Linked DNA regions of Caenorhabditis elegans. The protein of the gene in region 1 interacts with the protein of each later gene in a pairwise test. Each region holds a gene or a part of one and is shown on either strand. Other genes may lie near its edges.

What was found.
Region 2: the proteins of T15H9.4 (region 1) and K12H4.7 interact in a two-hybrid assay, tested with the Caenorhabditis elegans proteins (one large-scale study listed by BioGRID).

What each region holds. Positions count from the first base shown.
Region 1 is NC_003280.10:9,608,671-9,616,084, forward strand, and holds T15H9.4 (uncharacterized protein), read left to right. Parts: upstream 1-3,202; coding exon 3,203-3,772; intron 3,773-3,820; coding exon 3,821-3,975; intron 3,976-4,022; coding exon 4,023-4,147; intron 4,148-4,189; coding exon 4,190-4,296; intron 4,297-4,347; coding exon 4,348-4,575; intron 4,576-4,622; coding exon 4,623-4,733; 3' UTR 4,734-4,738; downstream 4,739-7,414. Other genes in the region: pap-2 (Poly(A) polymerase), read right to left, coding at 1-726; T15H9.5 (uncharacterized protein), read right to left, coding at 2,051-2,305, 2,350-2,550, 2,606-2,671; hlh-6 (Helix-loop-helix protein 6), read right to left, coding at 4,844-5,036, 5,344-5,442, 5,487-5,790, 5,932-6,142; hal-3 (uncharacterized protein), read right to left, coding at 7,333-7,414.
Region 2 is NC_003281.10:8,046,654-8,054,990, forward strand, and holds K12H4.7 (Putative serine protease K12H4.7), read right to left. Parts: upstream 4,429-8,337; 5' UTR 4,388-4,428; coding exon 4,357-4,387; intron 3,841-4,356; coding exon 3,737-3,840; intron 3,689-3,736; coding exon 3,487-3,688; intron 3,444-3,486; coding exon 3,353-3,443; intron 3,308-3,352; coding exon 3,072-3,307; intron 3,025-3,071; coding exon 2,889-3,024; intron 2,623-2,888; coding exon 2,003-2,622; intron 1,954-2,002; coding exon 1,841-1,953; 3' UTR 1,797-1,840; downstream 1-1,796. Other genes in the region: K12H4.3 (Ribosome biogenesis protein BRX1 homolog), read left to right, coding at 1-85, 159-297, 351-574, 718-843; mals-1 (Mitochondrial Assembly of ribosomal Large Subunit), read left to right, coding at 1,060-1,344, 1,396-1,557, 1,602-1,727.

The DNA of each region.
Region 1 (7,414 bases):
CCAAGTAATTCCTCCAAAGAATCCCATTGAATTCGAGTAGATCCCATGGTTTTTTGCCCACAGCTTGATTGCTCGAAGTGTGATACAAAAGTTCTTCTGGTGTGGAACAAGCTTCAGGAGTTGCTCGGCTACTCTGCATCCATTGAGACTTCGAACACTTTCCTCGTCGAGATTCTTCAAAAGTGAATCATCGAGAATATTTAGATCCTCTGGAACAGATTTCAATGCGAGTCTTGCAAACAGGATATCGATGTCCACTCCAGAGTACTTCAGTGTCATGATTGGGACAAATGCCTTTTCGACTGCACATAACTCTGTGACTTCTGGATTCTTCGCAAGAATATCCTTGAATGAATTGAAGAAATCGGATCGGGTGATATGCCTCGGTGCAACTACAATACTGTCGATATCCGCTCCACTGCTGTGTACTCCAAGTCGATAAGATCCAAATGGAATTAGCTTTCCACCAGCATTGAACATTTGATCCTTTGGAATCCTTGAAATGGTAGTCTTCTGGACCCAATCCTTCACCAATCCATCAAGATTTTTTAAAACTTTGATTCTTAGAAGAGTTTCTTGTTTTGACTCGAAACTTTTGAATTCCTCGAGAGAAGATTGCAGAGAGCTCGTCAACGCAACGTCATTGGCCTTTGGGAAAGCTGTGGAGATCGGTTGAGAAACTCCGAAGATTGGCGTGGAAGAGGTTGCATTATTCACAGATTGCATTTTACAAGAGTTGGAGATAGATCGTTAGTGAGAGTATCTAAAAATATAAAAGGTTAGTAAGGAAGAGGGCATTAAATGATTTTCAAGAGTAATAAACGAGCCGGTAATTAATGGAAAATTATGACCAAAACGAAGCTTAAAGTTATAATGATTAAATGTTGAGGATTAATTATCGAAATTGGGCTTTTTTTCAGTGCACTCAAAACAGTCCAGCATAATTCATTATAATAATTAAAAATTTTAAAAAAAGTTGCCATTTTTCAATTTGAAAAACAGTTGTCACTTTATAATTGTAATTTAAAAAGGTTCAACCAATTTTTGAAGTTTTACTTTTTTTTTGGACCATAGTGACTTTAAACAATTTTCTAATAGGCGATAATTCGATTTTAATAGACTTTGACAACGAAACTCTAGAAAAAATAACAACTAAAAAAAACAAATAATCTGTATAACCAGACGACCATCCGGTAAAAGGCTAGGAGGCACAAATGACACAGAGAGCACATCTCATCTATATAGATCTTCAGTCTTGTGTTTGTAACGCAGCGTTTTTGATGTCAATCGATTATTATATTTTCTCATGGCAAAAAAGTGTGAGCTCTATATTATTGGCCTGTATCCGGATGGATATCCAACAACTCGTTTTTTAAAAAATTATTTGACAGGTATCAGAATTTGGAACAGTAAAAGAAAACTGAGTTTTGAAAAAAAAACGTTCGAATTATGTTGAGTGAGGAAATTATCATAACATATACCAGCACAAATGAGTTTCTAACTAAAGTGAAAGCTATTTTTAAATTTCATAGGTAAAAATAGTGACAAAAAATACTTGATTCAAATAAGTAACAAGAAATGTATAAAAGGGTAAGTTAGATAGTCGAATTACAAAAGGATTTTTTGGAACAAAAACTGTGTTTTGAAAATCGACACTGAAAATTAAAACCTCTCGGAATAAAAAAGACCTAAACTAATCCATTCGGAAAGGGTATGCTAAAGGTTTTAAATTTTATTAACATAATTTTAGAAACGCAACACGTTAACCAACAATATTTAATTTCAAAACTATAGAAAAACTAACAACAAATTGTTTAAAAAATAGTGACAGAGCAGCAAAAGAAATCCGACAATCCGGTAGAAGGCTAGGAGACACAAATGACATGGATGGCACACAACTCATCACATCTTCAGTCTACGAACGCAGCGTTTTTGTTATCAATCGATTATTTTCTGATGGCAAAAAAGTGAACTTTATATATATATTTTTTTGTTTTCAAATACATTGATTTTCGATACTTTATTTAGAAGAGAAAATGACAAAAAGAAATCAATAAGCTTTTTCAGACTTCTCCATTTTTTCCACACTTCCCTCCTTTGAATTCTTATTCCTCATCTTCTTTTGCCGTCTTGATTCTTTCTTCTTGGCTTCAGCTTCATCTTTATGAGACTCCAAGTCTGTCTTCGGATTTTCCTCTTCTTGCTCTTTCTTCGCAATTTTCAGATTCTTTACAAGAGGTTCGTTGTTATCAGCCTTGACTTCCTTTTTCACATCTTTCTCCACTTTTTCGTCCGGTTCCTTGTCCTAAGAATCGAAATTTAAAAAAAAACAATTTTCCAAACTCTTACCTCCTCCTTTTTCTTCGATTTCAATTTCTTCTCACTCAAAACCTTTATCGGCGACTTTTTCTTTTCAGGCGAAACTGGCTTCTTACATTCTTCCACAGATTTCTCAGCAGACGGTAGTTTTTGATTCTTCGAGTGGGATTCATCAATCGACATTTGTGATGGTGCTGCAGGTTTCGGTTGTGTGTTCTGGACATTTTGAACCTGAATTGCCACAAATATTCAAGCTACAAAATTTCATTTTCAATGTTAAACTAACTTTTGAAGTCTCTGAAAACGATGCTGGTGGTGGCTTCGGATCCTTTTTATTTTTGGCACAGAGCATCACGGAAATCGATGTGAACAGTAGGATTACTGTAGCGGAAAGTGTTCGCCATAAGCATTCGCTTAATAATTCGATTTCTAATCGAACCATTCGATCGAAAATTATAAAATGTTATATGGAAATGATTCATTTTTGTGTTGAAGTTACTTATTGATAATTGATAAAGATCTGTTAATTTTTTAAAAATTTTTCGTAGAGCTCACGGTTTGAATTTTAAATATATTATTTCAAGAAATAATTCAAAAAATATCTGAACGTGAACTTTTCTTTATTTTATTTTCAACAATTCATCAACGCCGCCTGTGCCGCCCGTATTCTATTTATTTCTATTTATTCTCCCTGAAAAGTCACCATTTTCGAACATGTCAGGAGTTGCAAAAAGGAAAATAAGAATCAAAAAACTCACTGAAGAAATCGCAAAGTTCGTTACCAAAAACATCACCGTCTAACAAGAAGCAGGCGTCAGCTAAGAAAGTTTCGGTAAGTTGAAAACATTTAAATGATTTTGAAAGTTTACCCATATCTCTTTAAATGCAGCTGAAAAGAAAGAATAGCGTTTTCATCGATCCAAGAATTCAAGAAGTTGCTGGTCCTTGTGAACCAAGTGATAATGGCAATAATGAAGAAGAAGATAAGATTATCAGTATCCGTGCAACTGCATCCAGTGCCAGCATTACCAAAGAGTCTGTACCAGAAGCCCCACCAACTCACTTTATTCCTGTCGTAGTGACGGTTGAGCCAGATGCCTGGGAGAAGTTTCGAGACATTATTCAAGTCAACAGGAACATAGTTATCGTGAAAGTTGGGAGGTGGTTGATGTCTAGTTTCATGCCAGGAGATCAGATATCACTTGTTAATGGAACTGCCATTTGGAATTCTGATGATCTTGAAAACCAAGTTCGCGGTCCGAAGAAGGAAACAAAAACTGAAGTTACAGTAATCCGTGTGTGGAATTTGAAATGCCTTACTGACATTCAGTTGGATAAGCTTCTTGTTCCACCAGAAGAGCAACTTCATTACTTTTCTGTAAAAGTTTACTCATCAAAAGGAACTATTGGATTGAAGTTGTGTTTGGACAAGAAACGAGTGCTCGTGGAACTTGTAAGCATTTCAATATATACCTTTTCGATTTAATTTTTAATTTTCTAGATTCGTGCCAAGACCCCAGTCAATTCAGCTCTACTCGTTGGAGATCAAATCTTGGGGATAAATGACGAGCTTCTGACTGCAAAAAGCAAGAGAGCTTTGAGAAAGCAAGTAGCAGAAGTAATGAAGAAGAGCATCAAGAAACAAGGATTCGCAGAGTATTTTCTAGATTTTTTTTGAAAATCGGAAATCTGAATAATTTTAGAATCATTGCTTGCCGTCAAGTCATCGCTCGAAGCTCCCCAGCACCAAGTTTGGAGGCGGAACTGTCCGAGAAGTTTGCGAACTATGCAGTTGGAGTAGAGAAAGGAACAAGAATTGAGAAGAAAGGTTTTTGAAAATGGTTTTCTTCTGAGAACTTTATAATTTCAGACTCCAGTGAAACAAACAGTCTTCCATTGCATTCCGATGCTTTGGAGATTGCATTGCGGGAGTTGGCATGCTTGAAGCAATGGATTGTAGAAAGTTCCACTGAAGTTGTAAGCTTAAATAGTGAATACGTTTTCTAAAAATACAATTATTATTTCCAGCCACCGTGCGACAAGGGGCCTACTCTCATGATCGATCCACCAACTGCGCCTGGCTCTGCCGAAGGATGCCCACCTCCATTAGTGAAGGCCAAATCCACAACAAATGCAATCGAGCGATCGGTTTACTTCCCGTTAAGCACAACTGCTGCTGTTGCGATTCTTGTAAGCACTCCAAAGAAGCGAAGCATTTTTAGACAACAGGACAGGAATTCGGCTATCAATTTTGCGGTAGGTTAAGTTTTTCAAAAATTGTGAATAAAAATATTAATTTACAGGAGCAGCCCGACCACGAAAAGATCACATCGGATATTCCTGAAGAGGATGACCTGAAGAAATGCGAGCCTATGTCTGGAATTGCTGCATACATTAAGAAAAAGTTCAATTAGGCAGAGATATGTGTGAATAAATCGTTTTTACATGTTTCTGTGTTTTCTAGAACTTGACAGTTATTATCCACTATTTATTAATTTATTTCGTATTCCAAATAACAATCCGCTCACATAGCATTATTACTCGAATTAAAATTAAACGTAGAAATATCGATTAAAATATTTCCTTCGGACTCCTCTTGGAATCCATTGAAGCACTTGCAGTTATACTGATGAAGCTCGCTCCTCAATAAGTTATCCAAATGTTTGATATAACGGATTGCAAGCCGGAGAGTGTCAACTTTTGAGATTCGCTTTTCACTGGAAAATATTATTGTCAACTGTATCTATAGGAAGATAATTATTGATTAAATGTTTTGATAGGTACGTGTCACTAGCCAAATTTTGGTAGCAAAATCTTGGAAATACTTGGCATTATAATAGTAGCCTTTTGCATGAGTTGCTGCCAGATAGCTGTCACGGGGATTCCCGAGTTTCCTTCGGGATTTAATAGCATTTCAAGGTAAATTTGAGGTAAACTTTACTCTAAATGAATTTTCTCATCTACAACTTCCCTACAATTTCCAGAAGCATTTTTTTAATTTTTTAGAAAATCATTGAAACTTACTCAAAATGAACTGGAAGATGTTTTCTCAGTCTCTCATAACCATCATTCACATTTCTCACTCGACATCGCTCACGTTCGTTTCGTTTCCAAACTGATGAGCTGAAAATTAAAATTTTCAAACTTTAATAAAAGCATGATCTTACCTATATGGTCCGTATTGATCTTCAAGTTCAACAGGCAGGGGTACTGTAGCTTCAGGTGCAAATGGGTTCACATATTTCTTAAAGGCGTTTGAGCTAGTGTCCAATGACGCTTTAGAAGAAGGTTTTGGCTGACTTTGAGTGGGAAGTTGAGGTTGAACTTGGCTTTGAATTTGAATTTGTGGTTGATTGTGAATAGGTATTTGAGATATTTGTGGTTGAAGTTGAGATTGAATTTGAGTCGGGATTGGTGCAAGTTGGAGTGGGGTGGAAGTTGGAATGTGGAATTGCTGATCGATTAGTGGTACTGTAATATATTCAAAAAATGATATAAGTACATACATAATACATTTATTGGAGTTAGTTTCCATTTGGATAATTTTTAGATTTTTAGAGATATAAGCTGTCACCTTTGAATAATCGGGTGCAATATAAAACATTCACTCACCCATTAGTTTTTGTACATCGGTTTGAACATTTTCCAGTAGAAGATTTGTATTTGGAATTGAAGTTTGAATATGATTTTGAATATGATGTTGAATCGGATTTGGAATCGGGGTTTGAATAGTATTCTGGTTGATAATAGTCGAGTAGACCCCATTCTCAAATGTATAAGTTACAGGGAACATGGTCAAAAAGTTGTTTTGGGAAATTGACATTTTTTGAACTATTCTAAGCAGGTTATCTATAACTGACTATCCACAGGGACAACCTAAACAGTAAAATGTGGGCGGGGCCTACAGTAAATATAAGCTGTGCAAACAATCGGGGAGCCAACCCGAAAAAGGCGATCCATGCATGATATTTATTTGTTAGCCACCGAAATGTGGTTTTGCACAATGAGCACATCATTTGTCGGCTTCCGACATTATTTATTGAGGGCAATTGGGAAACATCGATATTGGAAAAAAAAACCCGCAAAAACAGAATTTCCGAAATGAATTTTGTATTATATTTACAGTGTCATTTTCTAGGTATATTTCTTGAGTAAATACTGAAGCAGATGTTTGGTATGCGAGCTATATGATAATCAATCATTTTTTGTTTTGATTGAATATGGTAATTTCCCATAATTAACACCTGCACATCATCAGAATATACGAAAAGATTGCAATTTTTCATCATTGTAGGTGATTTCAGTGGGAAAAACTAGTTTTCATATAAAATTTCGAAAGGTCCTGGCACGACTAACCCTTTATTACCTCTCCTACCCGAAAATACGGTACCTGGTCTCGGAACGGCACATTTTTGTTAGATGCGAGTAGATGTGCGCCTTTAAAGAGTAATACAGTTTTCCTCGTGATTTGACAAAATGTATATATTTTTTGTTGTTACATTTGAATTGTAAAAATATAAATAAATATTTTTTTTTAATTGTAAAAAAACTTAAAAATCGATGAAAGCTTGAAAGCTGCGCTGAAACGAAAGTTTTAAATTACAGTACTCTTTAAAGGAGCACACCTCTCGCATTCAACAAAAAAATGTGTGTCGAGACCGTGTACCGTATTTTTGGCATAAAACTTCGCGCCTGGCCAATATGTATATTATTTCTCAATGCGAATTGTCTTAACTTTAAAAAAATACTTTTCAGAATTTTTTAAGTGTCTGCTTTCTTCAAATTTGTCGATGCTGAGAATCAAAATTTTAAAATTACTGAATACTTTATAAATAGGAACTTTCGATGAAAATAAAAATAAGATCAGTCAGTTACAGGAACCCATTGATCCTGTTCCTTTTCTGAAAACTTATAAAATACTGACACACAACGCTATAATTTATATGGCACATTAAAAACACGATACTAAAAACTTAAAGTAGATCACAGGGCAAAACGAAAAAAAAAAAAATTTTATTTTTGTGCCTGACGAATTCGATCCCTGAGCCGTGTAAGTTGTTCCAATGAGAAGTCTTTGAACAAATCTTCCAACTGT
Region 2 (8,337 bases), on another chromosome or scaffold:
GAGAGCTTCAAGACCAGTCCTTTCATTTGACGATGCTTTTGATAAGAAACCACAATTGAAGCTTATCAAGGCCGTGCTTATGCAGGTAATTTTGTAAAAATTGAATTTGAATAAATATTTTGTTAGAAAAAATTATAATTTTCACAAAATAATTTCAGACTCTTGGAACACCACATCATCATCCACGCAGTCAGCCATTTGTGGATCACGTCTTTAATTTTTCTGTTGGAGAAGGTGATAAAATCTGGTTCCGCAATTTTCAAATTGTTGATGAGAGTCTTCAACTTCAGGAAGTTGGTGAGTATATAGTTTGAATACTTTTTATTTACATGCACAACATTTTTCTTCAGGACCACGCTTCGTTTTGGAAATGGTTCGTTTGTTCGCTGGCTCATTCGAAGGAGCCGTACTGTACGACAACCCAAACTACGTCTCTCCAAATGTGATCCGCCGTGAACACCGTAAAGGACAACATTCGTATATCGAGAAACAGTTGGCTGTGAAAGCATCAAATATCAAACAAGCTAAAGTCACAGAAATTCTCGCTGAAAAGACTGTTGATTTGGTTGGAAAGGTACGATTTTGAAAATAAAAAACATGAAATTAAAATCAAATTTGACAAAATACAGTCATAATATTTACTATAAAATTATTATACAATTATTTCCAAGTACCACAATCGATTTGAACGAGTTTTTAATTTATCTTCCTTTCCAGGAATTCGATACACAAAACAATGCCGCTGCTGACTCAGAGGCTGCTGCTCAGATCACTGCTCAAATTGAGAAACGTCGTGTTCGCAAGAAGAAGAGCCAAGCATCAAAGTACACTGGATCCGATTAATTTTTGTTGAATTTATCACATTTTTGTTGTTATTGTTGATTTTTTATCTCAAGCTACTCTGTTGTTTCTTACTCTGATCTTTTTATGCCTTTTTTGAATAAAAAATTATCAAAGCGAAATTCAATTGTTTTTTTCTAAATATGTGTCAAAACCAACTCAAATTTATTATTTTTCTAATTTCTCGAGATGCTTTTGTCAAGAATATGTCGTTTCAGAATGCTTACACGATTCACACGACTTCGTCCAATTCTACAGTTACGATATCTTGCTCAAAATTCGCATATCGAAGAGGAATATTTCGAAGAATTAGAGCCAACTGGAATCATTTCCAGTCACGAAACAAGTCAAGAACCTCCAAAACGGACAGGATTCAGAAGCCAGAATTTGTCAGAAGACGCTGATTTTGTAGAGAATGTGGTCGGAGCTTTGACTGATCAAAGAGCAAAAGATGTATTTGTTGTAAAATCAGAAGAAACAGAAATGACACCGTATACACATAAGGTAATTAATCCTCGTAATTCAGTAAGGAGAAAATTAATCTCATATTTTCAGATAATTTGCTCAGCATTCAATTCGCGACAAGCTTCAGCAATTTCTGAAAATCTTCGATCTCTTCTAAAAATTGACGGAGTGTCGAATGGATCCATGTCACATGCACGAAGGAGCACAAAACGAAGCAATGGATGGTATGTCAGTGAGGTGGAAAGAGTTCAGGTATTACTTCCTACATATTATATTTTTTAATGCCTATACTTCAGGTGCACGTAATGAGTGAAGAATGCCGTGAGAAGTACGATTTGGAAGCAATTTGGGCTGGCGATGATCGGATCTTAGACGAGATTGATGAGGAGAAACAGAAGATTTTGCTGCCACCGAGACGATAATGTTTTCCTTTTGTTATTTATAACATTTAGATTATTGTTATTATTTTTGTAATATCGTTGATATGAAATATTAGAGTCAAATTTTCATTTCTATAACATAAAATCCATAACAATTAATTAGCATGAAGCCATCCATCAAGAACATCCGAGATTCTTTGGCGGGCGTTTGTCAAGTACATACTATCCAAGCTGGATGCTCCGTACATGTCAGCACAATGGGCGGTTCCTGGAATTAATGTAATTATACTATTTTTGTACATAAAGTTCAAGATTACCATTGATCACAACTGGCACAATATTGCTGTTCGAGCTTGTCAATTTTCCAAGTGCATGCCATGGATCAATATCTCCATTTGGTAGAAGAATTCTGTCAGTGTTCAAATTATCTCTTCCTCCATAATATTGATTAGTGTAATCTACAGATGTCTGAACTTCTTGACTATTGTATGCAGCTCCATAGATAGCAGTACATTCATCAATATAATATTGAGCTGGAAGATTGCTTACACCTCCGAACCATGGTCCAGCAGTAGCTGATGAAGTTGATTGATAATATCCGAACTCAGTGCAAGTCTGCCAAACCCATGCTCTGTCAGATTGAGCCTCTCCGAATGTTTCATCTTTCATGAAAGAAATGAAACCATTGTAATCAATATCATTGCATCCGAAATATCCACTGACTTGGTTAAAATAGTCATTGACTTGTTTCAATTTCTGAAGTGGTGTTGATTTAGTGTTAATGTGATAACGGCAAATGGCATGAGAAATTGTGAGTTGAGTGGCAAACGATCCAGCGGCATCACCAGAATATTGAACAACCTCCATGTATGGAGAATATACTGTTTCCCAGAAATACTTGAGTGATTTATCGTCCATTTGAATGTCTTGGCAGAGACTGAAAAATTGTTGCTTATTTTACAATATATATTTCAATTTGACGCATTGAATGAACACGCCAAGTTATACGCACTTCTCAAAACATTTGTGACTAGAATAGCTGACAAAGGAACTATGTAGAGACTGGAACTTCCAGAGAAAAGTTTCAAAAAAGTTAGAGCGGTTAATTCAGTTTGAAACGCGCAGGAATGGGGGGAATACAGAAGGTTCACTCGAGGTTTTTGGCTTTGGCTAACTAGTAAGCATACATCATAATAAACTCACTGGAAAGCAGTTTTCAATTGTTTGCGTCCATCGGAAGTTTGAAGAAGAGAAGCAACCAAGTTGAATCCTTGGGTCACACTGGCGGCACACTCAGTTGAGTTACGGGTAATTGAGTTTTGTACAACCTCAAGATACTCTGAAATAGAAAGTAATTGGAAGTAAATTGCTGCGTATCTTTTTAACCTTTGAAGTCAACCTCGGCTTGAACTGGACCACTGGATCCAACAGCAGCATACACCAATTCTGGATGCTTTGCACGAGTCCATGCGGCCAAAGCTCCAGAGTAGGATCCTCCGAAAGTGACCCACTTGGCATTGGCCAATTGTGGGAACTTGGCGGTCATTGCCTTAATGAAAGCGGCGGCATCCTCAATAGCTTGGGCAGAAGACAAGTATTTCAGGTTTGGTACGGACATGTCGCTGGAAAACATTAATAATAGGGAGTTATTTCGTAAAAAGAAATACCTGGTTGGGTGAGTCTCTCCATAGAATCTGTGCTCAATATCAAAGACCCAGGCTCCTTGTTTGGCAGCCAAGTTGGTGATTTCAAGTCCAGCTTTAAAAATAAAATGTCTTGTATGATAAAAAAGTAAACTAACGATAAGAAACCCAATAACTAGACTCTGGTCCTTCTCCTCCAAGCATCAAGAAAGCTGGTCCTCCAGCCTTGTACCATTGGTTGTTATGATAATATCTCTGCTGGAAAGTCTTTCCGACGGAAGAATCAAAATGATCAAGAGTTTGAGTGAAAGTAGATGAGACTACATTGTCAAAGTTGATCATATGAGAAACGGAAGACATCTGGAATAGACTTTTTTTGTTCTGTACATTGGATGTTTGAACACTTACTGGTGGAGTCTTCTTCATTCCTCCACGTGGACGTCCACGGATCATGTTACGACGAACACGCTGCTCATTGCTTGGAGCAGACAATACCTGGGTCAGCACACATGCTGAAATGTTAAGTTATTCAGTGTGAAACTACAGAAACTATGGTAAACATAGAACTGAACTTAAAATTTATTAATTCGATGGTAAATAATGTTATCAGTTTTGAAACCTTAGTTTTTAGACAGTTGCTCGTCTCGATAAAAATGAATCCACGAATTATAAATTTTGTGTATTTCGTTGTAAAGATTAGTAGAAAATTCTTTTGAAAGATTCAACAATACAACATTTGAGAACATTGGCTAGACTAGATCTAGGTCTAGATAGAGTATATTCCCGTCGAAAACAGTTTCCAGATTCCTTATTTCCAGAAAAATATGTGAGACTTCATAATTTGTTTTTTTAGATTTTGAGTAATAAAAATATGTTCTGGCCATATAGCCTAATGGTCACGAATTTTAGAAAAAAACGACTCATGAAATTTACGGAACTGGCATTGAATCTGGGCAACTTCACTTTTAAGCTCCTCAAAGAGAAAGTAGCTACAGAAATTCTAAAACGATGTTTAAAATTAAATTTACCTGCCAGTAGCACTGCCAAAAGAGTCTTCATGTTTCCACTTTCTAGAATAAAAAGAAAAAGTGAAATAAAGCAAGAGTTTTCAGTTGATAAGCACCCACTTATACACTTTTCCTTATCAAATAATTTATCGCTGATTTGCGAGTTCAATTCCGTTTTCGCTATCACATTTAAATGATGATTTTACTGATTCGTGGCACAACTACATTCGAAATACTAAATCATCTTTTAGACTGACGTACTTGCAAACTGGGTTCTTAGTTTACAGGAATACTGGGCCAAAGTTTGAAAAATAAAATAACAAAGCCAATTTCAGAGAAACTGCAAAGATCAATAAAAAGTTGGAATTCGAAACGTTTAATTGTTTACTGGAACTATCAAATTGAATATAATCTTTTCAAAAATAAAATTTCCATATTCATAACATCATACCTAAGCATTTTCTGTCAGGATATGGAAGAAAATAAAAGGAAAAGTTGGTTGAATAAATAAATTACTAATAGAGGAAATACGGTATTCTTCGAAAAACACTTGCAACAAGCCAGTCATCATTTCAAATTTTTTTAAAATTCCGTTTCTCCATTCCATCATTTTCCATAAATATGTGCACTGAACTGTTTTACCTGCTCTCACTTGACTTCTTCTTCTATTCTACCTTCTTCAATCTTATTTCTTTTCCGTTGTTCGCAAACACTAGCCACATCACGCCTCCCGGTTGAGGAGATGAGAGGTAGGTGCTCATCTATTCAATACTCCGTTTTTCAAGTTTTAAATCGAGACATTTGTTCAAAATTGGTGAATTAAGGTCTCGCTATGTTCTCGCAAGTTCCAATTTTTATTGATTTGATTTCTCATCACGATCGTAGGTGCTAAAAATTTGTCAAGAATTCTCACAGAAATCTAAACTCTAAAAATATTATTTCCCTCTATAATTTGCTAGCTTTCAAACGTTTATTTCTACATATTGAATTTAATTCTAAATTTCCAAATTACGTGAATGCTGCCTAAAGTCTCGATTACGCAATAGTTACATAACCAAAGATGTGTCTTGACACTCCTTCAACTTTTTTTCCCAAAATTCTCGAGGTAAAAAAGTGAAAAAAAGGGCAGTTAGAGACCACCTGGGTGTTGATGCAAGTCTTGCGTTGTGTCTTTTTTATACATTGAAATTTGGAAAAAAAATGCTTGAGAAATGAAATTATGGTAGAATACGGTAGAACTTGTATTTCCAAACTGTGAACGTGATGCATTTCTTGTTGGAATCCTTAGAGAATACGATATATTAGCAAACATCAAGAATCTTCCATTTTCCTTTTTCTTTCAAACTTTCGATTCCGTTAGCCATAACTTGCAATACGAGACAGTTCAAAAAGAGAAAAAACATTGAAAAACCATAGCATCTTCATAAAAAGTGCAATTAAATATATTGAGTAACCGTCTAAATGGTCATCTAGTTTTGTTCCGCCGTCACGCAACTATTAAATTCTCCATCTTTAGCCAATTATTATTATTCTTGGGTGTTATGCAACTTTTCTATTCGTACAGATTTTTCTTCATTTGGTTTTGGTTTTTAATATTCTTTTTTTTTGTTTTTTAACGTGTTAAAAAATTGTGAAAATGATTACAAAATATCAAACTAAATATTTTCCAATTTCGAAAAAATCCACACACATGTATTTATCGAATTCTATTCAAACATAAATTTCCCACTATTTTTTTGTCCAAAACAGAAAGAGTGGAATGTGTAAGATACAACTCAGTTTTTCACAAGTATCCAATCCAATTATGTGCACAGTCTCGAGTTTTAATGGTATGGGAACTTGGGATTTGAGATAATAAAAATAGTTGGTTACGGTGGTTGATGAGAATTTTTATTTGTTGCTGCATTGAGACTAAGAGAGTTGGATATCACGTGATTTCTCAATTTTCATAATTATCTACTATTGTATAAGTTGCTGGAAAATTTTTGACAAAATAATTGTTTTATGAACACTTACCGAAGGGGTTTTTATGGAGATTTGATTTTTCAACTTCTCAATTTCACAAATTTTCAGAAATATGTGTGGCCAAAGTATACATTTTCGGGGTTTCTTTTTTGTAATATTATGTGAGGTTTTGCCGACTGAGCAGTTCAAAAATTGCAGTTTGCGGTTAAATAAAAATAAGTTATCTTTGAACTTTGTTAGGAATTTTCAACGTTTTAGAAAATTATAGAAAAGTTGTGTATTTGCTCATTCAATCAAAAATATCCTAATTTTATTTGATCAGAAACTATTTGAAAATCTGAAAAATCAGAAAGGCTAATAAATTTCAGTTTTTGCACTGTTTCTGCTAATGAAAACGTTTCAATTCTTTTTGTCGGGTGTTGCCATCCCTACACCTGATCATATTTTCTAAGAAAATTCAAACAAAGAAAGAAAAATTGATTTTCCGGTTGACCTGTAGTATCTTCTCTTGTTTAACACATCCTCCTCTCATACCTGTTACAAATGGTAATTAGCTCTTGAGACATGGAGACAATACTGTCGGGATGCATGCTCCCTCTTGTGAATACATAATTATTCTCACTCTTTTCTGAAGGAGCATTGGATCTATTGTACTTGATACGATTAGCTACTTCCGGTCTCGCTTTTGAACTTTTTTCGGCGAAACCATCGGTATTGTCTTGAGAGTTTGATACATTTGAATGGGTCTAGTGGGTTACTGTAGAAAGTTGATTCGTTTGAATGGACCATTTGGCATCGAAAAATGAATATTGCAATATCAGTAAGGAAGTTTAAAAAAAACCAGTGCTAAAATTAGCAAAAATCATTGTAAAAACTTTCACTTCACATATTGTAGTCTTGAACGTAATTTATTTGTTCTTCTTTATATTTTTATTTGGATCAATTATTTGTTTTTAAACATTGTACTTGGCAGCGATGCTTGAAATTATTCAAAAAGTTTAACGTTTTAGGAAATTGGCTGTTCACAAAACTTTGTCTGAAAATTATGAACACATATTGCTCAAAAACATATAACTCAAAATGAATTTCGAATTTCTTTAAAAAATTTATCAAATTTTAAATTAGGCAAACGAGAATAATGCTTCTACATCTTTTTTAACCACGAGACATCTATTTCTCTCGGTGGATAAAATAATCTCATAATTGCTCATTTGATCTTTCCAATAGACAAAGTGTGCATTTTGGTCATTTTTCAAAAACAAAGGAGCAGAAGGTACACCTGTATAAGGGATCAAACAGTTGATATTGGTATTGTGGTAAACTTTTTTAAAAATATTAAAACGGTTGAAAATGGCTGAAGAAGCCACAATACCTCAATAATATCAATTGTTTGACCATTTATACAGGCGTCACAATATTTAGATTATCAACCTTCAAACTAAATTTAAGCGACCGTTAAAATGCAATATTTTTCTGTTAATAGTGAATAAATTATCAACAAGTAAATTACTTTTAAATTTTACAATATGTTGAGTGAAGCTAACCAATTTCAAAAATTGCCTATAATTTACTACATTACTGCCAAAATCAGCAAATAAAGTTTTACATGATACAATAATACGTATTCAAACTCTTAGAAGTTACGGCTAAGAAATAAAGCTTCTGAATTTGATGGCTACCCATCTTCCTTTCTATTTCTCGTCATTTCTTAATTTATTTTGAAGATTATGTTTTCTTTTAATATCTGAGATTGATATTCCTGCAATTGACATCTCCTTATTCTTGTTAATAGTTACAACAGAGGCAAATATTGAATAAAATCTTTTTCTTCTTGGAACTATTTACTAGTTGTTCTTGTATTCTTTAATTTCTTCTGATAATTTTTGAAAGAAAAAACAAAGATTCCTCGAAGTTGGGGACTTAAACTTAACATTTGAATCGGGGAATTTTAATTTGCCTTTTATATATATATTTTTTCGTAGTTTTGTAAAACCTGGTAATTTCTCATTGTTGAAAGTTGAAAACATGCGATGTGCA